4 linked regions of the Drosophila melanogaster genome follow. The protein of the gene in region 1 interacts with the protein of each later gene in a pairwise test. Each region holds a gene or a part of one and is shown in the gene's direction. Other genes may lie near its edges.

What was found.
Region 2: the proteins of smash (region 1) and Gs1 interact in a two-hybrid assay, tested with the Drosophila melanogaster proteins (one large-scale study listed by BioGRID).
Region 3: the proteins of smash (region 1) and Pgant1 interact in a two-hybrid assay, tested with the Drosophila melanogaster proteins (one large-scale study listed by BioGRID).
Region 4: the proteins of smash (region 1) and CG14647 interact in a two-hybrid assay, tested with the Drosophila melanogaster proteins (one large-scale study listed by BioGRID).

The regions. Positions count from the first base shown.
Region 1 is NT_033777.3:4,656,841-4,664,284, forward strand, and holds the start of smash (smallish), read left to right. Parts: upstream 1-2,738; 5' UTR 2,739-3,559; intron 3,560-3,686; exon of another isoform or gene 3,687-4,099; intron 4,100-7,444. Other genes in the region: spartin, read left to right, coding at 63-369, 741-972.
Region 2 is NT_033779.5:129,331-136,877, forward strand, and holds Gs1 (glutamine synthetase 1), read left to right. Parts: upstream 1-2,746; 5' UTR 2,747-3,152; coding exon 3,153-4,352; 3' UTR 4,353-5,142; downstream 5,143-7,547. Other genes in the region: CG3164 (uncharacterized protein), read right to left, coding at 1,178-1,221.
Region 3 is NT_033778.4:15,508,396-15,517,347, forward strand, and holds Pgant1 (polypeptide N-Acetylgalactosaminyltransferase 1), read left to right. Parts: upstream 1-3,314; 5' UTR 3,315-3,336; intron 3,337-3,416; exon of another isoform or gene 3,417-3,418; 5' UTR 3,419-3,708; coding exon 3,709-4,370; intron 4,371-5,171; exon of another isoform or gene 5,172-5,226; coding exon of another isoform or gene 5,227-5,237; intron 5,238-5,350; coding exon 5,351-5,872; intron 5,873-6,001; coding exon 6,002-6,623; 3' UTR 6,624-7,202; downstream 7,203-8,952. UniProt on the Drosophila melanogaster protein: Catalyzes the initial reaction in O-linked oligosaccharide biosynthesis, the transfer of an N-acetyl-D-galactosamine residue to a serine or threonine residue on the protein receptor.
Region 4 is NT_033777.3:4,397,582-4,404,419, forward strand, and holds CG14647 (uncharacterized protein), read left to right. Parts: upstream 1-2,928; 5' UTR 2,929-2,996; coding exon 2,997-3,557; intron 3,558-3,772; coding exon 3,773-3,904; intron 3,905-4,019; coding exon 4,020-4,334; 3' UTR 4,335-4,436; downstream 4,437-6,838. Other genes in the region: CG9855 (uncharacterized protein), read right to left, coding at 1-55; CG9853 (uncharacterized protein), read right to left, coding at 1,172-1,804, 1,865-2,099, 2,161-2,312; lost, read left to right, coding at 5,621-5,699.

The DNA.
Region 1 (7,444 bases):
GTGCAGATTACATATAAGATAGATCTAATGTATCTTATGTTGTAACCTTTTGTTCATTATAGTTGAGGTGGCCCAAAAAGTGACGCACGCCGCAGCCGGAATGACAGGATGGATAGCTGGAAAGGTGGGCACTGCTTCAATGGCAGTCGGCCGCTACCTGGCTCCCCACATTCAGGAGCAAGGCTCTAAACTGCTGCAGAAGGGATTTGGCTACGACACCAGCGAGGCTAATAGCACCATGGAGGGCGCCATGACCATCGCGGCAGGAGCCGTGGAAGGAGTGAGCACCGTATTCGATGGCCTCGAGACTTCCGCCAAGATCCTAGGCTCCAGCCTCAGTGAAAACTCCGTCAAGATAATCGAACACAAGTGGGTTGGCTTTGGCTTCTTAATGCTTATGCAGTTTTGTAACAGATGTCATTACGAATTTTCGTCCGAATTGAAAGTAATCACTTAGGCTGGCAACGGTTTATTCAATTTAAATATATCTGAGATTTAAGTTATGCGCAATGTGCAGAGGATCGCAAAAATGATCAAGGATCGGGAAATGTTACTCAAGCTTGCACACAAAGAAAAGTTTTATAACTTGTTGTGAATCGTCTCAAATATGTAATGCTACTAAAGGTCTACTAAGATCTAGATATTCATTTTGGGTTTCTTTCGCCTTCGAAAAAGAAAAACATATAGTGCGGGCATTTTTAATATTTCATATATTTACATATATTTATTTGCTATTTCAGATATGGCCAGCAGACGGGGAATCTGGCTAGTGGCACCTTTGACACGGTGGGCAACGTTTTCGTGGTCAGTCAGAACGTGAACTACATAACCCCGAAGGGCATTGCCAAGAAAATGGTCAAACGAACAGGAGAAGCTGTGGTCAGTGACTACAAGCGAGACTTACGCAAATCGGAATCTCATTATATTAATGCCGGATCTCTTTATCCGGATCTTCGAGCTTTGAAGGAATAGCGGGAAAACCAAAGGAATTTATCACATGTTATTATTATTATTATTATTATTATTATTATTATTATTATTATTATTATTATTATTATTATTATTATTATATTGAAATATTTATATGCCATTTATAGCTTCTAATTAAAAGAAAAAATATAAATAAATATTATGTTCAATAACACATAAAAAAGATATTTCGAAAGATTTTGCATCAAAACCTTATTTTAGTGTTCAAAAATGCTTTACTTTTGTATTTGTAGATAAACCGAAGCTAGAAAGTATTAAAAAGAAAAATGTTTAATTCACTTTGTATATTTGTATAACCTAAATTCTAGCTTCCTAGCACTCCAACCGCTAAGTATCGGGTATCTTTTGTTTTTAAATTAAAATGTCCTGATTTTTGATACACAACTCAGTCCTCTTTCACTAATTTAAAAGAATTAACAATTTTAGCAAGGAATTTAGTATGAACGTACCATGTAAATTGTGAACAAATGTTGATCTAAGTATCTTTAGATTGACGATCAATAAAAAGCCGTCTAATTTAGCGGCTTTAAATCCTCGTAAGTACTGTCATAGCTTCCGATCGCCTGAAGTTACAGACTTTTGAATCTTATATTGTTGAAAAGGTTATGTTATTTGCATTATTTCCTAACCATTTCCTAAGACTCTATATAGCTATCTTATTCCTTATTCTTTTTTCCTATCTTAAAAAGCACTCTGATCAAGCAAAAACTTTGCGGAACGAGTCAAATTTTATATAAACAAGTTAGGAATTTATATAACGAGCGATGAACCCCACATATATACTTTGGCGAAATATGGTAAAACTTCACGTTTTGTTTTATACACGAGATATAGAATGTGATATTCTATAGGTCCTAAGTGTCATATATCAAGGAGCCCATATATTTAGTTAGGGTTCAGCTCCCGAATCAGAACATAACATAACATGAATGACTATAACCCCTATTGTTGGTAAAACTTTCTCCTAGACTATATTTACATTTACCTTATTATAGTCCTTTTATCCTATTAATATTTATATTAGGAGAATATAGGAATATGTATACTCATATTATTGTCAAAATCATATGAATACATTTTTTTATATATATTTATTAAAAAGAATCCGTACATAATTATATTGTATCTTAGCATCACAGGGTGGAGATTTATTCTTAAGAATTACCAGTCGATATATAAAAAAAGTAAAGTAAATGAATACATTTGTTTTCAAACGTTAGCTCTCGTGCGAGTTCCATTCTGAAAATAGGAATGGGTGTTTAAATCCTCACATGATTAGTGAGAGGTTTGGTTTTATCATTTATATGTTAATTGCGCTGTTATGTTGCTATTGCTGCATTGTATGGATTCATCGCTTCTAAATAAATAAATTTAAAAAAAAGGAATGGGTGTAGCATACTTTCGGGACGCGCAATAAAAAATTATCTTGAAATTGGTTTGGTTTTAAACTCCGCCATATATCATTATATAATATTATATATTATTTGATCCCAAAGCTTCATAGATTGATCCATCAGCGTCTCGTTGATTTTTGTATGCAATACTTTACGTACTAATTCAAAAACCGAGAAAGTTGTTAATTATTTTGAAGGCTTTTCGCCGAACAACGTAACAAAAAACGTAAGAGCGTACAGAGAGACCTTGCCTGCGGACAGATAAAAATACCGCTCGTAGTCCGATTCGACCCACCTCAACTGATTCAGCTGGCCACACTCCGCCCCATTTTTATATCCACAAATTCCTACGCTCGGCAGTACGTTTTGAACTCGGCCAAAAGGAGGTGGCTAAGAGTTTAGCGCGGCACGCAAGCACATAATTCCCCGCTCGGACGTGATTTCGCCCCTTGGTACATGAATACATGTGAATGTGTACATATGTGCGCACGGGAAATAAGGCAGGAAAAGCCCAAAGCCACGGAGTTCGGATCCGAGAGTCTTGCGTTTTGTTTTGCGCAGCACTGCACCTGTGCAGTGTAAAATCGTGAATTCAGTCGAGGTGCAACTGCGGCGCTTGTGCGGTTGAGGGAGGAGAGTTGGCAGAAGTGTGTTTGTGTGTGTATGTGGGTGGGTAGTGCCTTTTATTTCCGATTTTGACGGGAGTCCAATCCACCAAGCTGAGTAGTTGCAATTACGGCGCGGCGGAAAACTGTTTTTCTCGCTCACAAATACATATGTACAACCTGTATAAACAACAACGACTGCCGTAAACAGCCAACTGCGAACGCAGCAACAACAACAGTTCTAACAACAGTACACAAGCAAACACGTTTCCCGTTTTATTTTCTGGCCCGCGTTTATTAGTGTGTGTGGGTGCGCCTCTGTGTGCGAGTGCGTATGTGTGCGTGTGTACGTGTTGCTCGCTCGAGTATAGAAATTTCTAATGATTTTTGGCCTGTTCCCGAAAAGCAGCTCCAAACAACAACAACAACAACTTTAGGACTCTGCAGTGGCTGTTCCAATTGACTCGCCATTCTTTTGAATTGTTTTTATATATGTAATTGAACGCCGAAAAACAACTGTGTAAAAAACAGCATCTGTGCCAGCAACGAACAGAGCTTCGAATTTTGTTGGTAAGTGTTTTCAGCTTCTGCACAATGAATAAAGTAAATAATAAGTGAATAAGTGATTTCAAAATCTGCATTTTGAAACCGTAAAAAGTGTAGAAAAGAAAAGTGTAAAAAGGTAGCCAATTGTCTTAGTAACGTGCTTATTTATGCAATTTGTAACTATTGGCTTGAAGTTTACATAAAAAAAGGTCCATTCGAAAAATGAAGACTAATATCTTTCCTATCTTTCCTAACGGATATCAAAAAGTAGGATTGGGTAAAACACATTTCTCTCGGAGATTTTTCTTCATTGAGCGGATCGCTTAGATCCATTCATCTGACGCAACAGTAGCAGCAAAATAACGTTGTGATGACCAGGACTAGGGATATGACCTCAAGCAGCATTCTGGGACCTGGATCATGTTGGTCAGGCGGAACTTGTAGATGGAGGCTCGTGTTCTGGAGTGAGGCTTGTGAGCTTGAGTTGTACATTCTTGCGATCCATCCACCGATCTGCTGGCTTTCGAATTTGATGTTCGACAAATGTGTCTCAAAAAAATTTCGACACCCTCGACATGCGTTTCTGTGTTGGCTTTGATAGGTTTTTTCCCCAAAACATTTTCACTTTGCATGCCAATTTTCTCACCGCTCAAACTTGCAGCACTCGGGCGCCTAGTCATTTATTTGATATCATCATTATCGTCATTGCCCGAGCTACAGGCTACAGGTTTTTAGCTAATAAGGTAATGGCAAAAAGACGGGGAAAAACGGCTGAATTATAATCGAAAGAAAAAATCCATCATTGGAAAGTTGGTTTAATTGCATTTGCGGAATGCAGCTGTCAGGGTTGCCTAGTTGTGCGACAGGGCGACGCATTTTTCGCCAGCCGCGCACTTGGCTAATATTTCAGGCTTCATGCTTCATTTGCGTTACGAGCGGACCAAGTCGACTTTCGGAGCAAACCCGGCGGCAAGGGCGTTGGACTAGATTGGATCGGGTGGATTGGATGATGAAGGTGATGGGACAGGAGAAAGGTATTTGAAAGGGCTGGAGTGGGTTACACACTCCCCGGCGATATGGAGTTCATCGTCTTCCGAACTTGAGTTTCAAAATCTAAAAAAAAAACATCTCTATGTATGTATGTATGTAAGTACTTGTGTCTCCCAAGTTCTGGTGCCTGGAAAATCGTCAAACAAATATATTTTCAAAACTTAAAAATTTTTTTTTTTTGGTTTTCGAAGGATAGCGTGCACTACCCACAAAAGGAGCAATAAATTCCTCCGGGTGACAGTGGTTGGCAATTTTTTGCAGCAATTGGCAGGGCGAGTGTGGGAGAGAGCGGTGCCGGTCGTTACACGTTACACACTTTTCCGGGGCACTTTCCCAAGCGAATATTATTTTTTCTGTGCCCTCACATGAAAATCAATTCATAATGGTGCAGGTGGGTGGCGGCTCTCATGCTTTTTTTATATTTTTCTCTATAGTGCGATTGAATGCGACAGAAAATAGTATGATCAAGAAATCATATTGTTTACACATCGGTTTTATAAATTTGGTAGTTTAATTTTTATTAGTCCAAACAAATATCGGATTATATTTTTGTTTCAAGTGTACTTTTCACTTCTTTGCACGGTGGGTATTTTCCTCATCATCTGTTTTTCGAAGAGCTTTTCCGCCGCTGCTGTTTTGTTTATGCTTTTCCCATCTCATTGTTTTTGCGCGCCTCGTGCGTCAATTTATGTGAGTTCAGTTTGCCTCAAAGACGGAAGCGGTCTTAATGGTACAAATAGGAGTAGCTGCGGCTCCAGCTAGGAAACCGGAGGAAAAGGGTGCCGTGGAAATTGGCGCCGCCGCAACTGCCCAAATGCCGCGGCTGCTCATAACTTGTTTGCCGAATAATTTCCAAAGTTGCAATTTTCATTTTATGGCCATTTGTCTTCGGTTGTTTTGTCTGCCGGTTGGGGCACATTCGAAGCCCGGTTTTGCTTTTTTTTTTTCGTGGCTCATTTTGTTTTGTAATCAGAATTACATAGAGGGAAACATTTCATTTTCATTTGCTAACTAAGTTGGTCTCTCTTTCGGACCGCTCTGTAATCGGGTAAATGAAATCCAGATCAGTGGCGAAATTACAAATTTGTTCCATTTTGTTCTAAACATACTCGCATTTCGTAAGTTAAAATTTTCATACATTAGTTTCAAAAGCTAGAAATATAATGAGAATCTTAGAAATAAAGCGATTGTCATGTAATTACATGATACTAGAGTACCTTATCCAAATCAGACTGACTTGTTTTAAGCCATCTTGTGCTTGACATACACATGCTCAACTCTTCCCTTTTGGGAGGTGCTATCTGGTATCCGATTTCGTAACCAATTCGGCCCGAGTCCGGCTCTTTCATAACAATAACCAAAAGCACTTGTCACTGCCATCTGCTGCCGGCAACTTCGCCGTGGCCACCCATATGGGCCCAGTTTGGGCTCGTCGCCTACCTGTTTCACCGGGCAGTGTGAGTGATACTTGTGCAATTATTGTACAAACTCATAGTGTCCACTCTTTCAAGCGAGTGTATGTGAGTAGAGTGGTAGAACCCCTGGACTCTCGGACAGGTTGTTCAGAAAAGCGAATGGTTTTGTTCCACGCCGAACGCCTCATGTCTTTCGTCGTCGACGGAAATCTGAAACAATGGAGGTAGAGAAGACGCTCTGAACGCATTGGTGGCACAGCCAGCTTATTAACTTACCTGTTATTTCAACCATTTCCATTTTCTCACGCACGCAGGCCTGGAAAATGGAAACTGCACTTGCCTGTGTCTGCATTGGGTGATTTTAGGCGCACTGAAAAAAATTGTTCTATGTCTGAATATTATCTGAAATACACTCTTAAAAATTTTGGATCACAAAGTCAATTTAATTGGTGGTTTTCGAATAATTTATTGTCCCTAACTTTCATTTTTTATATTATAAGCAATATGATTTTTTTCAGTGTTATTTAGCCGGGGGTTTTAAACTAGGCACCTGAAAACCTACTTAATTTTTGGGCGAAGTCTTTCCTATCAAATCCCAGTAAATTAATGGCGCCCGATGAGTATTTATTAGTTCGTATCCGTGAGCTAGCCGTATAATTAAAACACAACCGGATTGTTAAGTTGGGTCTACGTTGTCCGCTTATCATTAAAGAGCGATTAGTTTTCAAGTTCGTATTTTTAATTCGTTTTAAGGAGAAGATTTGTTTTGCTCTTATGGAGTTGAGTGGAGCTGTAAGTCTTGGAACTTGGAAATGGAATCAAAGTCTGATTTTGATGCCATCCGGATAATTTAATTGATTTTAAATGCCCACAACGGAGTGCAGTAATTGAAAACTATAATTGCATAACCATTCCTCATATAGGCGCCCCAATTCCCCAGGAATGAAAGTGAAACATGGACGCTTTAGTTCCAGTAGCCACCCACTCAAAGGATACTTTTCCATATATGTATATGTATATAGCCTATATAAATTTGTGCGAGAATTGTATATAACCATTTATGTACCAGCTTACATGGAATACTAACTGTTGACCTAGCTCCATGAGCACTGGCTGAATTCATTGCCACAGGCATTTGTTGTGTGTACAACGCACAGAAGTTGAAAGTTTGGGTCCGAATGCAAAAGCGAACTGCAAACTGGTTCTGTTAACTCAAATATTTTGTTTGAGAAATGTTATGTTCGAAAATAAAATACACGATGTATCTTCAGAGTTGGAATATTATGTTTTCGGATGCTGAAAGCCACCCTTATTTTCATTCAACCTATCCCAACCCCACCCCTGTTAGTCCCCAACAGCTCCTGTTAACTGTGCTATGGGGGTGGGAAAAAGCAGCTGTTCGCTGGTTTGGGGACGTCGCTCCCGAACCAAAAAACGAGTGCAA
Region 2 (7,547 bases), on another chromosome or scaffold:
CTTTACGTCTGTGGTTAGAGTGGGACGACAATAGAAGCACTACTTCTGGTGGGGATTCTAGTGCGATTGAGAGGCACTGCGGGTTGGCTCTCTCTCAAAAGCCAGCGCATTCTTCTACTAAGTCTTGAATGAATTTGGGAAAAGCCTATAATCTGTGAATATTCCTCGATCGGCGGACCCATGTATCTCGAAATAAAATACCACTAACTAATTTCGAGGAAAGTCTTTACCTTGAGGAAGGTCTTTGATTCCCAGTCTTGTACTTTGATTGGTTTATCAGCCTTTTATAGTAGTTAGTCCTGGAAGCTAAGGTTCTGGCCATTGGTTTATTCAATCTAAGTTAAAAGTTCACGGCCTCGCTCATGACTCATGAGTTATTGGAGGGGCTTATCTATGGGTGTCAATCTACAGCTGATAGGAGTTTTCAATGAGCCGATAAGGGGTTGTACTTTGTCATTTCGTGTTTTACGTAAAAATAAGTTAATCGGTGCCGTAATTCGTTTAAAGGAGCTCTAGTACGCTTTTTAATGGTTTGCTTACGCGACATTTTACCTACATTTTGCTTTTCCCTACATTTAATGTGGCATGAGGTCATTTGTGGCTATGGCGTGGGACGACCTTACAACTTTGCCCCAGAAACAGTTTTGTGGTATATCTGAACGCAACAGTTAGATGTAGACATTGCTGTAAGGCTCCTTGTTGGCATGCTTTTACGATGCTCCGGTCTATATTTTGCCCAATCTAATTGGGATTTACGGATTGCACTGGGAGTGCTAATAACGTTTAGTTAAACCGGTTATTGTATATATTGGGGCAAGTAAAAACGTAATGAATTGACCAACAAAAGGTATTTTCCCAGTACAAACCGCAATTTGAGATATTATTCCTAGTTCGGTTTCTGGGTTCAAATCAGCATACAGCACTAAAGTTATGCAGTCGCCTTAAGATATGAAAGAATAATGTATTTCCACTGGCAATTTCCCGATGACTATTGGCTTGGAAATTTTTTAAAGCTTGTGGCTAATCAAGTCACGGAGATGTCAACAATTGGCAGGAATTGCAAACCGGTTGTTCTACACTTGTTGATTTCGTTTTATAAACGGGGGGTGTGGTATATTAGATGTGCCAACTAAATGTGATGCATTTTGCTTGAGACCCGCCTGATTCGGCTACTTACAGATTATTATTTTCCAAAAACTGCTTCCAACTATACTGGTTCATGGTGCCGTAACTCAACAGCTACTGAAACCATCGCTTTGAAGCAACAAGTTGCCTTCGCGAAAGCTAAGTCGCAGGCAATAACGAATAGGCAGTCGAAACCCAAACCGAATATAAGAATTAGCGATTTTGTATTTGGTTGTTGCACATCGGGTGTAAAAATATGTACACTCTGCTGGAGGGAAACTTTCGTAGTTTCTTGCGAAAACTGAAGCCGGCCAACTAGTGGAAACGATGCCACGTAACTGGAAAAGCGTAGACGGCTATATGGGAATTACTCGGGTCTATGGTGAAAAGTGGCACTCACACATTGGCACATAAAAGTTTCCTCTGTTTTCCTTGTTTTCTTTGTTATGCCCACCTGAAGCTCTCCCAATATGAGCCGTCCAAAAAAGCTTGCTTTCCCGCCAGAAACAGAGTTTTAGCTTTATTTTAACATTAATCCTATCTGAAATATACTCATCCGTTCTTCAGTACTTTCCTCTAAGTTACGAGGCAACCAACAAATAATTGGAAGACATATCTGTGGTCTCGGCTTTTGTGCGACAACATGCCATTATGTAGGAGGGAGTGGGCCAATATGCGTGGCTTGATGAACGACGGCCTAGGACTAAGTATAATCTGTAACAAATAAATATTGAATATCCTCCACACAGGATATTTAGATCAGAATTTACATAGCATTTAAATTTCAACGTTTTACATACTCAGCCTAAAAGTTGGCTACACTGTGTACTTATACTGCTATTTTAGTTATAGTTTTAGTTAGATATATTTTTAATATTCAGAACGTCGTATGCGAGACCCAAGCCAGGAATAGGAACATTTAGTACCGAATTTACATATTATAAACAAATCATTATTGCTTCATTTAAGGCTCTATTAATGCGGTCCACCACAGAGTTTATCAAATGCCAAACACGAATAGACACAGCTGATACGGTGCTCCTTGCATTCGCTATATTTAATTGTATATAGTGAACTTTGTACCAGGCGTGTATTCAAAACAATCAGCCAAAGAGCAAAATGGTGGAGGTTTTTACGAAGAGATTACGAGAAATGAGAGAGTGTTGTAATAAGTAGTACTGCTGAAATGCATCTGCATACTGCGTAACCTATCATAGTTTCTGAAATGAATTTATCAAAAATGTAGAACTTAATTTGTGGGTTCTAAAGTGGGCCATGCACATAAATGGTGCAGGTGTTCTACGATGAGAATTACTAAAAACTTTTGTTTTTCATTTGGCGCTAATGCAAGCTACAAGTGCTCGAAATGCATAAATGAGCTTATAGCGTGTGCTCAGTAACGGGGCTTTTGGCTACCCGACTAGCCTCGAAACATAAACATTATGGGTCGCATTGCAGGTCTCTCTGGCTAGTGGCTGCGGAGCGGGTGCTCATATACCGCCAGTTTTGAATGCTCTCTGGGAGGCCTTTGTCTGTGCGTCGGCGTCGCAAACGAGATAAAGAAAAACCCGAGGCGCGCGACGAAACAACGAAAAAAGTGAATGCTGTCGCGCTAACTGTGCTCACAAGACTTCCAAACATCGAATTGGTCGGGTGTCCCCAACAGTCGCTCCGCAGCCCCTGACAGAAACAGAAACGAAAACCGAAAGTACCGCAATCCAAAATTACCAAAAGACCTGTCCAACCAGCGACTGTTTAACCAATCATATAACTGTAAAGTGGAAAAACGAGCAGAGCACGGTAAGTTGTGCGGAAGACTGCGTCTTCACTGGAAAAGTACCCCTTTTTTAACTACCTCGGAAAATCAAGTGCAAGGAAAATAATTACATAAAAATTCATGAGAAAAGCAGAGTGAGCCAGCATGCCACCAGCCCTTGCCCTTCCTGCGCACGTCCTCACATTCGCCAGCAATACATAACTAACCGTGTCCTTTTGTCCTTCTCGCCGACTCCAATCCAAGAACCAAGATGGCACTACGCGTGGCAGGACTCTTCCTGAAGAAGGAGCTGGTGGCTCCCGCAACACAGCAGCTGCGTCTGCTGCGTACTGGCAATACCACCCGCTCCCAGTTCTTGGCCAACTCCCCCAACACGGCTCTAGACAAGAGCATTCTGCAGAGGTACCGCAACCTGGAAACGCCGGCCAATCGAGTGCAGGCTACTTACTTATGGATCGACGGTACCGGCGAGAACATTCGCCTCAAGGATCGCGTTTTGGACAAAGTACCCAGCTCCGTGGAGGACTTGCCGGATTGGCAGTACGACGGCAGTTCCACCTACCAGGCCCATGGCGAGAACTCGGACACCACGCTCAAGCCACGCGCCATATATCGCGATCCCTTTAAGCCGGGAAAGAACGACGTAATTGTCCTGTGCGACACCTACAGCGCCGACGGCAAGCCGACGGCGTCCAACAAGCGTGCCGCGTTCCAGGCAGCCATTGACCTAATTAGCGATCAGGAGCCCTGGTTCGGCATTGAGCAAGAATACACTTTATTAGACGTGGACGGACGTCCCTTCGGCTGGCCGGAGAACGGTTTCCCAGCCCCACAAGGTCCTTACTACTGCGGCGTGGGAGCTGACCGTGTGTACGCTCGCGATCTTGTGGAGGCCCACGTCGTGGCCTGCCTGTATGCTGGGATCGACTTCGCCGGCACCAATGCCGAGGTAATGCCCGCGCAGTGGGAGTTCCAAATTGGTCCAGCCGGGATTAAGGCATGTGACGATTTATGGGTGTCGCGATATATTTTGCAGCGCATAGCTGAGGAGTATGGCGTAGTGGTCACCTTTGACCCCAAACCGATGGAGGGTCAGTGGAACGGAGCCGGCGCGCATACCAACTTTTCCACAAAGGAGATGCGTGCTGATGGCGGAATCAAGGCCATCGAGGAAGCTATCGAGAAGCTGAGCAAGCGCCACGAGCGGCACATCAAGGCATACGACCCCAAGGAAGGCAAAGACAATGAACGGCGCCTCGTGGGACGTCTTGAGACTTCTAGCATCGATAAGTTTTCTTGGGGCGTGGCCAACCGGGCCGTAAGTGTGCGAGTGCCGCGTGGCGTTGCGACGGCCGGCAAAGGATACCTCGAAGACCGGCGGCCAAGCTCCAACTGTGATCCCTACGCCGTGTGCAACGCCATTGTTCGCACCTGCCTGCTCAACGAGTAGGCTGTGAGCGGTGCAACAGATGTTTAATTTTTTGTACATTATGTTTTATGGAACTGTGAAGCGTATCCGATCATTTGGTTATATTTACATTGAACTGAAGCAAAATTTAGTTTGCTTGTGCAAAAAAGACAGGAGACCGAGGCACGAAAAGCGTGCGCTTAGAATTTAAGAACGTGGGTGGGTGGCAAGAAGAACTAAGCTAAAGCGAAATTTCCTTAAAGCGATGGGGCCTCATGAATACTTTGCCATATATCTCACAAACTACGTATATCTATCATTGCTTTAATCTAAATAATAAAAAACATTGTACTCTACGTTAATTTTTTGTACCTTTTAGATCAAACAAACATTTTGGGATCCGACGTTGAATTCGGTCAACGCCATTTTTTGCCCTTAACTTCTTGAACGCACTTTTTTAATAACTCCTAAGAGTTTCTAAATGTAAATTTAAGAAGGAAATATCACTGAAATCGGACGATATGCATATTAATCATTCATATCCATGAGCACGAATACACATATATGTGAAATATGTTTATAAAAACCAATTGTTGATTAGAAGTTGTTAAAAATAAAATACTAAGAAATTAATTTATGTATATATATTGGTACATATGTATCTCACTTTACGGATCTGTCGCTTCACTTTGTTCGGTAGCATTTTACATCATTTTACTATATGCTGTTATAATATAAATGTCTAAATACTAGCACTAGCAAAATTAAAAATTCCATTGAGATACATAAATACATTTTGAGTAAAAGCAGAACTGCGTACAAAGCAAAACACATTACTACAGACTATTTTATTTTCTCTTTTCTGGCGAGCTTTTGAACAACTGTTGTTGCAATGACTGTGAAAATCAAAGTTTTAAAATATAGAACAGCTTGCTTGTAAATAAGAGTGACATGAGGGCACAAAAACTAGCTAAGGCAAGACCTTGTTTTTAATGGAAAGTTTTCCACCACAAACAGCTGCCTGACACTGAAAGTATTCAAAGACTAAATCTTAGGGTTTCCGTTCAGAATATGTGTGTTTTTCGCTCAACTGACACACACCCTCGTATATATGTACATATATGTATGTTTGTATGCTTGGATGAAAGATATGGCTGCGAAGGAGACAATGCTTCCATATACTCGTATATTCCCAATGGCAATATACTGCGTCCAGCTGATAGGGCAGGGGTACTGCACTCTGGGATGGCAGGCAATTGCATTTCCCTGCAATCTTATATTGATTGAGTATAACCGCGAACTCAATCGCTTCAAAGGGGGGCTATTAAGTGTGGTTATTATACTTAAACTTACAAAATAAATCTTAAATTTGAATTAAATTAAAATAGCAGATACTGCAGTACTACTAAACTGATATTTAATATACATACATATGTATGTATCTAGTATGTCTTCGAGCATCTAAAATTGAGTGTGCTTTTTTTACTGCACTTTGCATGTCCGTTCTCGCAATTGTTGACATTCTGAGGTGCAGTTAGCGGTGTTTGTTTGGCTCTGCTGGGAGCGGATTACGGATTACGGGGTATGCAAATGTAATAAGGTTAAGAGGGAGAGATAAGGCCATCCAGTTTATACAAAACAGTGTTAAATACACAGAGATAGTTCGACCAAGCCAGCCAGCCGAAAGAGGCACGGAATCATCCGTAGTCAGACCATCTATAGCTTCGTTAACTCATCTTTAAATGTTCGAACGCATTCCTGTGCCCAATTCCAATTCGACTATCTAATATACCCGTTTTCCATTGCAGCATTTGTGGGCACAATGTAGATACTATAATATATTTTAAAATCACATAAACAATCGAATCAAGGCACTAGCCTGTTATGGCCACAGAACTCAATAGTTCCGCACCGTCGCCCAAAAACCAGATTATTAATTAATTGAAGCAGGTTCATTGGTATGCATGAAACACGTTCAAAGATGTCAACATCATACAATGCAGGCCTGAGGAGATCCAGTTATGCTGCCTGAGACCAGGCGATTTGCATAAAACGGAATGATAAGCTGGACACCTGATTTCGAAACTATTGATAACAAAATGATATTGATATATCACTGAATCAAGTGATCAAAATAATATATTTTTGCTCTAGATAAATGTAGGCAACGATCGACTGGATAGAAATATAAGCTTCACTTACTCTCCTCACCTTCCTATAAAATCTTCAGTTCGTCAGTTCACTCGGTTAAAGTCCAAGCAAACTGATAAGACAGTAAGGCCACGAAGTTAATCTTCCGGCTGCAAAAGCCTGTCCAGCGTTTACCATTATCTTTTGTACCGTGCCTTTTACTTCTGACTCGGTCAGAAAAATACCTCCGCCTGGGTAGGGTTATCAAAGGGCAATAAATCATACTGGCTGCGGTTGCGAAAATAAAATAATGTTGAACCATAATTGATCAAATCAATTCCATATAAAGAGATGAAATAATTTTACCCAGACCCCTGCGAATTTTATTTAAATTACCTTAAAGTTGGGCACGATTGTGGAGCGTGATTCCTGAACGGCCTGTCACAGTAAACTCATCTACTGATCGACTCTTGTCTGGCCAATTGCAAATTACCATTTTCAGAGCCTTTAACTGGGTCAAGACATTCGCTCGCCTTGCAATGGGAGTGGTCGGAAAAAGCACTGATAACAGCGGATTTACGGACTCAATGCAGTACGTAATGTGACAAGCGGCAATAAACGGGTAACAAAACAGAGCGAATCTGTTGTGGAGCTGCTGGTGAAATAATCGTTGCTGGGGGTGCTGTTTATTTTTATGTGATGTTTCTTTTGGAGCGCACCAACTGCTTGTTGAGATTATGTTTTATAGCGCTACTTTCAGTCCGCGCAATCGTAAATGATTGCTCGATCAAAATATGTGGTCGCACTCTGGAGAATTATAAAACCTGTCAGGTACAAGCAGATACATAATATATATAATATAATCCTATAATTCTATGTCCTGTGACCGATGTCCAGCAATTAATCGGTCACGTAGCGTCATTTTGGAATGAAAAGAAAAAGAAAAGATTTGCGGCCGCAAATAGTTTACTACGCAACCGATTTTTCCATTTTATCTATGGCGGGTGTCGATACGGTGGGGTTCTTGCGCAAACACAGGCAGCCAACAAGTGCTGTCTTTTATCTGGCCTATTTATCTAATTTCCCACTGCTCACGCCATTCGCAAT
Region 3 (8,952 bases), on another chromosome or scaffold:
TTTGAAATCGCAATGTTTGCACCATAGTTAAATAAAAAGATTCGCTAGCATGGCTAAACTCACTCTGCTCAACCTTCGCCAAAAGCCATAAAGCAAACAAAGAAATGTTGAATTGGGATTAGCCACCTCCGCACAATAAATGATAGCGGATATGGAGAAGAAGCGGTTATTGTTGGCGCTGTTATTCAAATGTATCCGAATCATCACATCGGAGGTTGCGAACATTGAGACAATCAATGCTCAATTTTGGATGTTGATCGATACGCGATATTGATTTTGATGTGGTTTTAAGAGACAATCGGCCCTATCTGTGTATATCTGCGATGCGATTGTAAAAACCCTCGCGGATGAAAATGTGCATTCCATCAGGTATGATGAGGCGACCCAATGAACTGGTCAAATATTTGATGACATCTCACATAATTGGCTCTTACATAAATACTACCATAAACAGTCCACAATGCGGGTGTCTCAGCAGGAACCGGGGATTATGCAAAACCCCAACTGGCTACCGCCATAAAACCGCCTTAGTTTGTGCTCATTTGGATGGATATTTGTGCATATACGATCCGAATCATAATTTGGTTCGTCACTTTGGCGCCACTTTTGACGCGTGCTGATTGGACCTAGGGCACTGGAATTGAAATTGGTATCGGATTTGGCGATGGGGATGGGGCATTGGGTAACCGGTTAACCCCCAAGCGATGTAGTGGGTGAGACAATGGGTTGGCATTGTCATTGCCAAGCCAGTATCGTGAAATCTTTCACTTTCGATTTAGTTGTAAACGAAGTTCCCCTTATAAAATCGCTCGAACTGGATCATAAATCACGCTGGAAAACGTATGATAATGTGGCATCATTACGCTTCCCAGGCAGATCAATTTGTCATGGGAAGTCGTGGACTTGCTCCAGCTCTGATCCGGCATAATCCTATCAGAGTCGATCCGATCAGATCCGACCTGCGCTCATCCTATGGCACTGACGAAACCTCAACGCAATCATCGGAATTACCCAACCTTTTGACATTTGCAAGGCTTTCGAAGCGAAACGAAAGTAGCAGACGAACCATCCGTAATCCGTAAAATCTATGGCAGACATTTTTCAATTGCAATCCCAAATCCCAATTCTGTTATTATCCGCCGTTGACTGCCCATTTCCATTGATGGATGGTGATCGTTAGTCGACCATTTCTTGGCTGCTTGTGTGATCTTCAGGGTCATTTAGATTTAATAGATTTCTGTGGCCCGAGTCATTATGGCAGGCACCTTAACCGCAGTCGTCGACTCACATGTGGAACAATATCTGTTAGTGGTTAAATTGTTTTTGACCCTTTTCTTTTATTGTACGCGCTATAATGAGACCTCGTTGGGGGCTCATTATTGAATAGAGTAATTTAAAAAAATTATTTATCGAGCACTTCTGCTATTTACACAAAAACATATTTGCGGACTCTTGAAGGGGCCGCGTTTTTCAATCCGGTTGCGGCTCATAACACTTAAGAGCTAATTCGACCTCAGGCCATTAAACATTTCACAAATGTGCTGAAAATGCACAATTTTCGGTGGCGATAATAAAAGAGTATTTCAAATTTAAGAGGTGTTAATTTTTTCGAGCGAAGAAACTAATCTGTTTCAATGCCGGATTCGCTGCATTTTTACAAACTAGTATTTTAAGGTCGCACACGAAATGAAATTCCAAAATCTCGTCTGGTTCCACGTCGTACGTATCTATGTATATGCATATATCTCCCCCTTTTTGCTCCATCTTTCTTTTTTTTTCGGCAACTAAAACAAAGGCCCCATCCCACTGAGCCCCGGCCAGAGAGTAACTTATTTCCTTCCTAGTTTTTGTCGCTCAAAGCCATTAGGGAGTTTTAGCGAAGATTGGCAAAACAGTTGCCACCTTTCAGCGACTCAACGGTTGCTTCCCACAACTCCAAAACTCCAATTACCATGGCTGTGGAGCACTTTGAACTTTAATTTATCTGCTGGGTCGCCGATCTGGTGGCCGGTGGCGCCTCCCGCAGCGACACCAATGCGTATACGTAACGTATTAATTATGCGACCCAAGAGCTCACTTAAAAACAGCAACTGGCACTTTGGAGTCGTACGTTAATTAGCCAAATTAATCACAGACCCCAACGAAATGGGGCCAATCTTGTTGGCATCAATTCGAAGCATTACAAAATGAAAGTTGCGATGAGAACCAATCTCAATTAGAATTCAAATGAGATTTAAACAAGCCACCAGAGACAAATTCCACTGGCAACATGTGGTGCTTGGTTGCATGTTCGGACCAAGAGGCGTAGCAACAAGTTTTTAATGGAAAACCCATTTGTTGCCCCTTAACAACAAATGAACATGCCATTTGTGCATTAAGTGCCGGCCAAGGTGTCAAATGCGACAGTCAGTCGGTCGGTCAGTCCCTTTCGTTTTCAACGGCACTCGGGGGCAGGAAGTTTTGTGATTTAAATTTCCGCTTTTTTCGCAATTGATGTGACAACTATGTGGCTTGGCATGCTTGTTGGTTATAAATTATAATTATTAGTTTTATACTCACACATTAAATTGGTACGATCTACACGGCAGACACTGCTTCCAATAGTATATCATTATAAATGACTATTAGGCGTATAGTTACCATGTCTTACGAATCGGCTTTGATAATGCAATTTAGGATTAGTTCTTATACAAATAAATATACAAATCATAGTCTAAATTATTAAAAAAAAATTTTTTTGTCAGACTCTTAAAAACTTGTAGATTTCTTATATTCAAATTTGTTTTAAAAAAAATGTCCAAGCTACCTTACAACTAATCGAGATTTTCTTAATATAAAATGTAAAAAAAATTTTAGGGAAATGTATTTTGTTGTCCAAGCAGCCTAGTTATCTGACTTATAAAACCAGTTTAAAAGACACTGGAGAATACTGATATATGTATAAGACCTTTTTGGTAAAGTGGTCTTTGTCTTTGCTTAAAGTTATTTACATCTTCTTAAAGCACAAAGATGTAAAATTTTGTTAAAAAGACAAAATTATATGAGCACGTTTTCTGTAAGACTTTATTACAAATCTACAGGACAAACAAAGGCTTAAATATAATTTTGTAGTTTTTCACATTGTATTATGTGCAGAACACTAATAACCTGGATTGTACAAATAATAAAAACTGTTATTATAAATATATTATAATTAATTAATAACAGTGAACGATAAGTTTTCAAGCAATGCCCACTGTGGCAGTGCTGCGAAGCGCCGACTTAACAGCTGTTGCTGCAAAAGTATCCCAAAATGTACTAACGCTTGAAGCAACAGCGTATAGAAAACATGCCCGAGTAAGTTTTCGTTGTTTTTTATTGTTGTTGTGTTTGATTTGTTGTTGTGGCAGTCGCGCTTAGAATTAATATTGCCATTTAGTCTAGTTTAAGCCACTCCACAAAGCGGCGGTGCGCGGCGCTCAACGGAAAGCGGGAAGAAACTGGAATTTGTGGTATTGTGGGCGAACCGAGAAGCCACGAATCATACTTACAAAGTGTCTGGATTTTTCGCCAGCGAATCGGAGTTAAATGATCGAATAGCGGGTAAAATCGGACAGCGGACGCACACGATCCGATCCGCAGAGTCAGATTGGAGTGGAGAAGTGAAGCTAGTGCTACCTCAGAATCCCAGATACCAGCAGTCCCAGTCAAAAGATATTTTAAGCCAACATGCTGCCTCGGTTCCGTTCCTTTTACGGCAAACTGATCATCTTCATCCTAGTCGCCCTCTGCTTCATCCTCTACAGCAAGGTGCAGCAGAATGGTTCACCAGAGGAGCCACCTGTAGCGCCACTCGTCCGGGCGGCCGCTCTGCGAGGTCATGGGCGCGAGCGGTTCGAGGCGTATAGCGACAGTGAGAACGAGATAGCCCGACCCGCCACCCAGTCGCCGTACGAACAAATAATCCAACTGGATCTTCAGAAACAGAAGGTGGGACTCGGCGAACAGGGCGTGGCAGTGCATCTTTCCGGTGCCGCCAAGGAACGAGGCGATGAGATCTACAAGAAGATTGCCCTCAACGAGGAGCTAAGCGAGCAGTTGACCTACAACCGGAGTGTCGGTGACCACCGGAATCCCCTGTGCGCCAAACAGCGCTTTGATTCCGACTCCCTGCCCACCGCCAGTGTGGTCATCATCTTCTTCAACGAACCCTACTCCGTGCTGCTGAGGACCGTGCACAGCACTCTGAGCACCTGCAACGAGAAGGCCCTGAAGGAGATTATTCTGGTGGATGACGGTAGCGACAACGTGGAACTGGGCGCCAAGCTGGACTACTATGTTCGCACGCGGATTCCCTCGGGGAAGGTCACCATTCTGCGTCTCAAGAACCGGTGAGTTGAAGCTACAAGGTGTCTGACCTAAAAAAGTCGAGCTGCCGTTACTCTAACTAAGAACAAATGTATCTGAAATAGCTGTTTGCGCCAAAGACTTCAGAAAAAGATGTTCGGTTTTTCCCAATCTAGAATGGCAAAAATACGTGAGCTATATCCGCAAGATAAAAAGGAATTAAAAGGAATTCCAGTAAAATGGCCAAACTATAGAAATCCAATCTTGTTTATGTGATAAAGTTTTCATCCACTCCAGTACTTTAGAAACCCTCAAGAAATTATAGACTTGATTAGTGGCCAATATAGTAGTTATACTTGCTCATTCACTTTCAATGCGACTTTTGGCATATGCAAATACTAAGTGTTAAACTTAAAGCATGCTTTCGTGTTTTTGAGACACAATTCGAAGCATTTATTATATTTATTTATATATTTATTTATATTTATATATATTAAAAATCGAAATCAAGTGTATATACACGTTTCTTAATTATTGTTCATAAGTGCAACAATGCAAAAAAGGTGAAAATTTGACACCTAGATAATTTCCATTATTGCCTATGGGCTAGGAAAAGTTCAGTAATTTGGCTAATCGAAACGCTGACGACTTGGACTCATTTGAATAACTTGTTTGCCATGTCAGACGCGCATGGAGCATCTTCTTTTTGGCCAGAACCGACAAACGCTCAAAAAACCAAAAACTAAAAACCGAAAAACAAAATGAAGAGAAAACCAGTTCGTCAAGTTACGATTATGTGTGTTGGGCTTGACTTTTTGTAACTCCCAGACTCGGTTTCTGCGTGCATTACACTCGTCAGCCCGTGAGCTTTGCAGACTTTCGGATGACTTCACGCGGTGGATGCCATGTAGGTTGGTGTTAATCGTGCTTGGCAGACGATCGAAGGTTTTCGAATGACCCAATAAATTTGTTTTGTTTTGCCCTTCACATAGCATAAAGAAAGTTTTCGCCTGTCTCTTTGCAGATTGGGTTTGATTCGTGCCCGATTGGCCGGAGCGCGAATCGCCACGGGGGATGTGCTCATCTTCCTGGATGCCCATTGCGAGGGTAACATTGGCTGGTGCGAGCCACTCCTGCAGCGCATCAAGGAGTCGCGGACTAGCGTGCTGGTGCCCATTATCGATGTCATCGATGCCAACGACTTTCAGTACAGCACAAATGGCTACAAATCCTTCCAGGTCGGCGGATTCCAGTGGAATGGCCACTTTGACTGGATCAATCTGCCGGAGCGGGAGAAGCAGCGCCAGCGACGCGAATGCAAGCAGGAGCGGGAGATCTGTCCAGCATACAGTCCCACCATGGCCGGCGGACTGTTTGCCATAGATCGTCGCTACTTCTGGGAAGTGGGCAGCTACGACGAACAAATGGACGGTTGGGGTGGTGAGAACCTGGAGATGTCCTTTCGCATCTGGCAGTGCGGCGGCACCATCGAGACTATTCCCTGCTCCCGCGTTGGACACATATTCCGCGACTTCCATCCTTACAAGTAAGCGAAACGAACTATATACTTATAATTTATGATGAAGCTGACCTTCGAAGCGAACTATAGTAACTTTATTGTCATCTGCCATTATCTATTGCTGCATTATAATGAACTCATTTAAATTCTTTATAGATTCCCCAACGATCGCGATACACACGGTATTAATACTGCCCGCATGGCTCTGGTTTGGATGGATGAGTACATCAACATATTTTTCCTCAACCGGCCGGACCTAAAGTTCCACGCGGACATTGGAGATGTCACCCACCGAGTAATGCTGCGCAAAAAGCTCCGCTGCAAGAGCTTCGAGTGGTACCTCAAGAACATCTATCCGGAGAAGTTTGTGCCCACGAAGGACGTGCAGGGATGGGGTAAAGTGCACGCTGTGAATTCGAACATATGTCTGGACGATTTGCTGCAGAACAACGAAAAGCCCTATAACGCCGGCTTGTACCCATGCGGCAAGGTGTTGCAGAAGTCGCAGCTATTCTCCTTCACCAACACAAATGTCCTGCGCAACGAGCTAAGCTGTGCAACCGTGCAGCACAGCGAGTCCCCACCGTACCGGGTCGTGATGGTGCCCTGCATGGAGAATGATGAGTTCAACGAGCAGTGGCGATACGAGCACCAGCACATCATTCACAGCAACACGGGCATGTGCCTCGATCATCAGGGACTCAAAAGCCTGGACGACGCCCAGGTGGCGCCTTGCGATCCCCACAGCGAATCCCAACGATGGACCATTGAACACTGAGGAGATAGGGTGTAGCGGGGGAATGGGATGGGGACCAAAGCAACTGAGAGATACTGACTAACGCCGACTGAACGGAACTCGAATTCAAATTAGAACAACCCTTTGTAAATACCTAAATCGAATCCTAGAATTATATATTTTGTGTACACAAATCGTGTATATTAAGAAGAAACGGGGTAGCTAGTGCAAATCAAATCGAAAGGAATCAAATCAAAATAAGAAACCAGCAAATCAAACGCAAACGAGTCATTTGGAAAGCTAATAACAATTAACTGTGTGTTGTGTACTTTGTGTGTATAAATATAAATAGAGCAAGTTGTAAGAATAGAGTCGAACCATCCTATGTAAATGATATAGTCGCCATGTGATCGTGTAAGGATGTAAGGCAGGGTGTGGAACGATTGCATTCCATGGCCAGGGATTCAACAAGGAGCTCTCCTGCGTGAGAGCATCCAGCAATAACCAACTATGTAAACTGTAAACTAAAAGTGTTGTAAGCATTTATCTACATAACCATTTTGCCATTTGTTTTCATGAATAAAAAAAAACTTCCGACTGGAGGATGTACATCTTCAAACGAACCATTAGTAGCCTCTGCCTTGGGTCGAAGGTGTTGGGCCAACAAAATGTAACCAGTTAGTAGCAGTCAAGGCCGAGTTCAGCGTTAATATCGCAGTGGCCGCTTGTTGACCCAGCAGCTCTACTGGTCCACATTTACCCCCCAGCTGTGAAATTAAAGCCAACTCCATTAAAAAATGTCCATTGCATGTTTGTATATTTGTATTTATAGATATAAGTACATATTTCATATTCTCTTTTATTTTGTTTTGCTTTGTTGAAGTTGTTCAAATTTGCTGATTACGCTTGTGTTTTTTGTTTAATTTCTCTGGCGTGTTGGCATTAAAATACTTAAATTGGAGTAAAACAATTGTAAATTACCAGAATTATCTTTACTCTTTCCGCTGCTGACAACTATATTCTGCACTCTAGTCTATTCTTTTATGTTCTGCATTTGCAACTACTAGTGTGGAGTGAACTAAACTGACATATCCGTACTTACAAACCGAACGAACCGAACCAAATTCATCAACAATGGTTTTTTTGCTTGGTGCGTCTGTTTGTGTACTATGATAAAGCAGGTCTAGCATATGGTTTAGTTTATTCATTAACTCGTGACTGAACTCTTGGATAGTTTATTTAACGGCTGATGGAGTCGAGCTATAATTGTGGTGTAATAACATTTATTCGTTGACCGTGCTAAAAGCTCTAAGAGTGCGCAAACTTACAAGTAAACTCTTTCCGAAGGCTGCCTTCTGATCCTATATCCCATATAGTTAATATGTGTGTGCCTAACATTCCGTTACGCTAGAGGCTAGATGCTAGAGATGCTATATGCAATGGCAAACTATTTCATTTGCGGGGCTGATTGCATGAGAACTGCACTAGATTGCACAAAAATATGATTAGTTCTTTAATAACGTCAAGGTACGATTCAATTTGTCGGCGTTCCAATCGCGATCTCTACGGCTACTTAATTTTTCAATTGCATTGCACACTGCCTACAACTATGGATTTTCGATCTATTTTACAAATAAACTGACTGGGCTGCGGCTAACTTTCGTTTTCAATCGGGGACTCAACTACGTTACTCAATCAACCTCTAATTGAACCTCTAGTTATTTTGCGCTAGTTAAATGCGTTAATTTGATGGTGATTTTGCCGGTCATAATGCCACACTCGCTATGTACATTCATGTGATTAAATTAATTCTGAATTGTAATGCTCAACCGATTTGAATTTGAATTGCGGCGTCTACAAAATGCACACACATACATACTCAAACAAATGCCCCTGGTTGGGATTTAATACTCGGGATTCCCCCAGGGAGCATTCAATATTTAAATTAGTTCTGTCTCAGTTAGGTTTATCATTGGTAAATATGCAATTTATATTTATATTCATGAATATCCATGCAGTTGTAAGTATATATATCATAGTTGTATCTTGACCTTGGATTTTAAATTTTGGACGTATTTTCAAGTATATTTTGGTAGTTGCTTTTCGCTTTTACGCAAGTAGAAAAACAGTTCGAAAATATATACCTAATATATATATAATATAAGTGGTGTATATTTATGCTTGTATACACTGGATGAATGGTTGTAGATCTTCCAGTTGGGCTTGACCTTTGACACGTCCCCAACTGTTTTCTGTTGGATTTCAGTTTCAGTTTCGTTTTTGGGTTTTCTAAGTGTAAATCGCTCTTATTGTGTTTTAAATTGCAATTTATCTCAGACTCAGTTTTGGAGTGCTTTGGATGTTGGTTGGT
Region 4 (6,838 bases), 260 kb from region 1:
AGTCCACAGATGGCGCCGCACAGTCCACAGAGGGCGCTGCAGCTTTGTCGGCCATTTCGCTGAAAGTATAACACAATGTCCTATGTTTATCGATGCACAGAGGCCCAACCTTAAGGTCCTGCTTACTTTGCTCTCACTCGGCTTTGTTGTGCGGTGATTGGCCTTTTCGGTTAAAGGTTGTGGCTTTAATTCTGAGCGTTTCTCAACTTTACTCTTATTTTGGGTGGTTCAACGAAAATAAAACTAACTAAATAAACCCAATCTGATTTATTCTACCAGGGCACTTTCAATGATTTTTCGGACGGACCAGATCTCAGATTGTATTTTCCAGGTCGACGCTAACTTACCCTTGTGCTGGTCACACTTATATCGCAACATAAATATTTTTTTGGGATTTCGTCGTATTATTTTTAAGCCGTCGATTCCAGAAGGACAAGTTAGATACATTGTATAATTTTTAAAAACGATTGACCTACTTACGAAATATTCACACGTATTCGAATTCTACTACCTAGTCCACTACTGACTTAAAATATACATAATTTAAATTTGGAAAAACAACTTTTCTGAATTCTTCCGCCAATACAGAATAACACAAAAACGGAGGGAAATGAGAACAAATTATACTACACCTAAATAAGGGATTCTGCTTTTATGTTACAAGCCGGGTTGATCCCGCATATTCAATGTCGACTTTCGATGCTGGTTATTTATTTTTGGAAATACAAATGTTATAAAATTATAAAACTTTTCAAATATTTCAATTAATTAATTTTTCTTTACAATTTTTTCCCATTTTAATTGCATCCTCGAAATGTCGACTATGGGATGTATCGCGATGTATTTTCACGTTGTGACGAAGCGCACCCGGATATTGTGCGTAGGAGGCAAGCACTACAAAAGCACAAAAATCCAATTACCAGTTCAAAAGATATTCCCAAAACAAGATTTTTGAGAACTTGTCATAGTGATTTTTGTTTGAATAACTATTTTTTTATAATTTGCATAATCAAGACCATACGCTTATTTAAAATTATTTAGCATACAGCAATTTAAAGTTATAACAAAATAGCCCGATGATTTTGTGGCAAAGAACTTCATTGACTTTGAGCAACCAAAAAGACCAGCAACAAAGGATCCCTCTTCGGTATGCTTCATTAATGCATACATGCTATTCCAGTTCGTTATTCTCGTTTTGCCGCCTCAGGGTCGTGTCATGATCGTCCGCATCATCTTCCTCAAAGCCCGCCATAAGGCGATTGAATATGTCACCAAACATTCCGCCCAACCCGGGCGGGCCAGAATGAGCAGCCTCCGGATGCTCGTCGAAATACAGCACCCCAATCTTGGCTACGTACTTTAGAAAAGACGTGTCGCGCTTTAGGGATGGATCGTAAAGCTTGCGTAAGGCCCGAAACCCAGCCACACGCTTCGCGTCAATAAGACGGAATAGGAAGTACAAGAAGTTGACCAGCGGTTCCTTATAGGGGAACTCATGCTTAAGCAGCTTGGCGTGGTAGCGTGTGTACTCAGTGAACGTGTCCTCTGCAGTTTTCCGATCCTTAAGGGATAGCTGCTGCAGCACAGCTTGTACCAGAAACAAGTCCATCTCGCCCTGGAAGCCCCTGCTCTGGCTGATTTCAATTAGCACTCGCCCACATAGGCTGCCATCCTGGCAGAGTAGATAGTGGTGACGAGCCGACTCAATGTTGCCCTCGGTCCAAAACACGTGCGCAATTAACTTATGGAGCACTGGGTGGCCATACTGGCCATGCAAGGCCGTGCTCCACTTAATGGTCCGTTGCTAAAGGAAAAAAAATTTCATTGCCGGTATAAGTCGCGTTTAATAATGTCAAAGACTCACAATAAGGGTTTCGCGCTCTACAGTCGCGGAGTTAAGGCCGCGGATCAAAGCCCCTAGGCGTGGAACCCACAGGAAGTTGTCGGTATCTTCCGCCTGTGGTCCTCGCTTCTCTAACGTGTCCACCAGAAGGAGACATAGGTCCGCGGCGCTGCTTTCCTGTTCCTTGGCAATAAGCTGCTGTGCTCCATCAAAGAGCAGTTCCAGGCAGTCCTGATAGCGTTTCTGCGCCGTATACCTAAGGAATCGAATTTCTTATTGGATTGCATTTCCTTGCACGGATTATACAAATAGTCTACCGAAAATACAGCGTCCTATACATCATGTGCGCTTCATAGAATTCTCCTCCTGCCAGAGACTGGGACAACTTGGCAAGTACTCGGCTGACACCGCGCTGTCCAGTGGACACCGCACTGCCGCTGGCTATTGGACCTGTCTCGGCGGCAGACATTTGGTTATTTGCGGGGTTTATTCGTACGCTTTCAGCGACCTTCTCAATTATGTGGAAGCCAATTTTTATAATTTATTTTGTATTTACATATACCAGCTTCCCGATGACAAACTATCGGTGTCGATTGCCAACTATAACACTCTTTGCACAGGCGCCCAATGTCAAAACAAAAATTGAGGGTTTACACTTCTAACCAATCAATTGGTAATTTAAAATGCATTCGTAAAACACCTTTTATGGTTTTAATAGTTTTCTGCTTGCAATGTCCAATGTCCACAAATATTTTTATTTTCACATCTGAAAATTGGTTCTTCATAATTCAATTCGCTTGTTATTTTATACCATCTTATATGAATATTAAATCATCGTTATATGAATATTAAATTTCAAATAATAATATGTTTTGTAGCTAATGGACAGTAATAAGATAAGACATATCCAGTTTTCTGATAATTGTTTATTTGAGCTATTTCTTCTCTTCGTTAAATTATTAATTTAAATTATTAGCTAAATTCACCAATATCTCATAATTCACACAACTATTAAATGTAACGCTGCTGCTGTTGCGGCCTCGTGTGAACAGCCCTAATCGACGACTTTAATGGAATGACGGGGGAAGAACGGGAAGATAAAGCAGCTGAGAATTGCCAGGCATTGTGGAAATTTTTTAAACTTCCCAATCAAATGAATAGTGATCTGAAGGAGAGTGGTTCCGGAGCCAGAAAAGACGACGCCGCACCGGCAGCCGGCGATTTCGTCGCCGCTAGCGGATTCGCTCCCAATCGTTGGGTCAAACTGAACGTGGGTGGACAAATCTACGCCACTACCATCGACACTCTGGTGGGCAGAGAACCGGATTCAATGCTTGCTAGGATGTTCCTGCAAAATGGCAGCATGAAGCCCAGCGAGCGTGACGAGCAGGGAGCATACCTGATTGATCGAAGTCCTCGATATTTCGAGCCGATCATCAACTACCTCCGCCACGGACAATTCGTATGCGATTCGAACATCAGTGTGTTGGGTGTTTTGGAGGAGGCGCGGTTCTTCGGAATCTTTTCGCTTGTCACCCATTTGGAGGAACGCCTGGGACAGCAGGAGACGCCGCTGGGGGACAGACCATTGACGCGCAACGACGTCATCAAGGCCATCATTCAGACCTCCGTGATAACGGAGCTGCGCTTTCAAGGCGTTAATCTGTCTGGGGCCGATCTACGAAAGCTAGATTTTCGCAACATTAACTTCAAGGTGTGCGCAAACGAATTTCATTTCAATGCATACATTGTGTAATACAACATTTTAAGTCTTTCCAACGCCGTAACACGACTGCATTTTAATATTATTGTAGTTTGCTACGCAGTAAAGGAGATATTTTCGTCCGGAAAAAAATGGAAAATTATTGGTGGAGATCTATCAAGTTGAAGACAATAATTATACTAAAGACTATCCCTTTTCCTTCACAGTATGCCAACATGTCTCACTGCAATTTGTCCCACACCAATCTTAACTACTGCTGTCTTGAACGGGCGGATCTTCAGTACGCAAACTTGGAATGTGCCCAACTAGTGTCAGTGCGGGGACTTTGCGCCAATATGGTAAGCACAGGTTTAACAGAAAACGCTATTAAATAATCACATCATTTGTGAAACTAGTTGTAACAGATTTACGCCATCCAATTAGCTAAGAAAACTAATCTGCCTAATCTTTCAGGAAGGTGCAAACTTGCGTGGGTGTAATTTTGAAGACCCAACAGGAGTTCGAACTAATCTAGAGGGTGTTAACCTCAAAGGAGCATGTTTGGAAAGCAGCAACATGGCCGGTGTTAACTTACGTGTGGCAAATTTGAAGAACGCCAATATGAAGAACTGTAATTTGCGAGCTGCGGTGTTAGCAGGTGCCGACTTGGAAAAATGCAATCTTTCTGGCAGCGACTTGCAGGAGGCAAATTTGCGTGGGGCAAATTTAAAGGACGCGGAGCTTACCCTAATGGTGACCCCATTGCACATGTCACAGGCCATACGATGATATCTTGGTTGGCACCTATCACTAATATTACTGTTATTGACTGTACATACTTAAAAGTTTAATAGTAGGTTATAAAATAAACAGTATTAGGATTGAATTTCTAAAGTCGTGTGTATTATTCTTATTCCTTACTCGTAGAGTAAAAAAGTATACTAGATTCGTACTAGAAAAGTATGTAACAGGCAGATAGCAGCGTTTCCGACTATATAAGGGATATATATTATATATAATCCGGATCAATAGCCGAGTCTATCCGTCTGTCCGTATAAACGTCGTGATCTCAGGAACTATAAAATCTAGAGGTTGGGATTAAGCATACAGATTTTAGAGACGCGGCTCACGTTTGTTGACCCATGCTGCCATGCCCATTCTAATGCCCACAAACCGCACAAAACTGTGACGCCCACACTTTTAAAAAATGTGTTGATATTGTTTCATAATTTAATTAGTCTTGAAATTTTCTATCGATTTGCCAAGAAACTTTTTACCACACCCATTCTAACGCCCTAAAAACGCATTCCCACTGGCTGAGTAACGGGTATCTGATAGTCGGGGAACTTGACTATAGCGTTCCCTCTTGTTTTTTTTAATGAAATTTCGCGTTCGCATTCACACTAGCTGAGTAACGGGTATCTGATAGTCGGGGATTTCGACTATAGCATTCCATCTTGTTTTTTTTGTTTATTACATAGTCTTAGTCGCATCACTAAAGATTCTTTTATATTTTTATATAAAACATTCCTTAGGGACCTTGCAGAAGAGTTACATTTAGAAAATCCTAAGCCGGGGCAGGAGCCTGTGTTAATTATAGTTTATCCTTCGATTCCTTTATCTACAAGAAACATAAATAAAGAAAATAATATAAAATTTATCTATTTTTAGTTTTTAATACCTTATTCGCAGTGATCACAGCTTACAATTTTACCGAACTATCTGGGTGGTACTCGATGTTTATTAAAATAATATATAACAATTGAAGCGAAAAAAGATGATGGACTTGCATGTAGATCTAATGTATATTGTCGGTGGCGTGTATAAGCTCAGATGTATAACTTTTATTATATTTTTAGCTAGAACCATCGCAAGCAACTCTATACGAAATGTATCGATGTATCGCATCGGCGATGTTTTTTTACGTCACCAGAGAAACGTCAATTTTCAAACGTGGTTTGTTGGAAGCCAGCGGAGAACGGTAGACGTTGCTTGTGAACTGTGAACTGTGTAGCCGTAGCCTGAGCCGGTAAAAAATTGTGAGCAGAACTAAAACACAATTGGCGAGCGATTCGATGGAGGACCAAAGCAACGCAGCCCCCGCTGTCGCCGCGGAGAACGGCGGAAACACCGCGCAGGAGGTGTCTTCGACAAGTAAGTGGCCTGCCCTACTACCCCGCCCGCTCGCCGACGAAAATTGCGTGTAATTCTCGCGAGTGCTGGTGATTCCATAAATGTTTTGCGCCGCGCCGCGCCTTGCTCGCTGGGCATCCAAAGTGAATACCCATGTTCCAGAGGGGCAGGTGCCCGATTCAGCCATTTTCTAGGTGCCAGTGTAGAAGCGGAAGATTGTCGAATTCCGCCATATTTATTTCTAGGAGACCCTAGCTGTAAATAAGAGTTGCCGAAACGCCGAAGTTGCTTGTTGTTGACACTAATTACGTCATCTTTGCGCGCATTCTTCCCACAATTACAAAAAGTGAAATGAATCATTTTCGGTGCTCTTGGCCGATTTCGATTTCGAGATTCTGTGCTCGCAGTGTCAATTCACCCGCTCGCTTGCGCCCCGCGCTGCCCGACACCACTACACGCTCGCGGCACTGCTCATACGAATACATATTAATTGAGAAATTCGCGAGTCGATGCGCTCATCGCCCAGAAATGTGTGCGTGCGAGTGTGTGCGTGTCGAAGCGTTGCCAACTTATTGGTCATGCGTTAATATCGGGATATGGGTTCTTAATTTGTATTTCTCATTGAACCCGCCAAGAAAGACGGCCGAAATAGTTTTAGCGGCCAATTCATACTTCAGTTTCAATTCAACAAGCGCACACACATGCATGTTGACGTGTGTTCTTTAACCAGCACAGGTGGCAACCCTGCCGTCCCGATTTTGCATGCAGATTTTTGTTTTCAATGATACGGGCCGGCGTTTGCTGGTGTATGTTTGGGTCACTTTCACATCTGATTACTGGGCGTGGAAACCGGTATATCAGCCGCGGTATCACTTTTAGTCCAGCGCCAACTAGCGTGATAACACGCGTTCATTACAGACGATAAGGGCAGCGGCTGTGTTGCTATTCAGCACATTTGATTCGCACTTTTACAGTCAACCTCCCCTAACAAAAACTAACATGTCCGAGAAGTTGGGGAATCGCTTGGGTCCGCACGTTATCATACCTACAGATCAGCTCTGGAATGGAATGTGGCTTGATTTAATGAAGGCTAGCTATCACTAACACAAATACAAATGAGCTCACCGCTGCAATAAACTAAAATATGTTTCTTTTAGTCA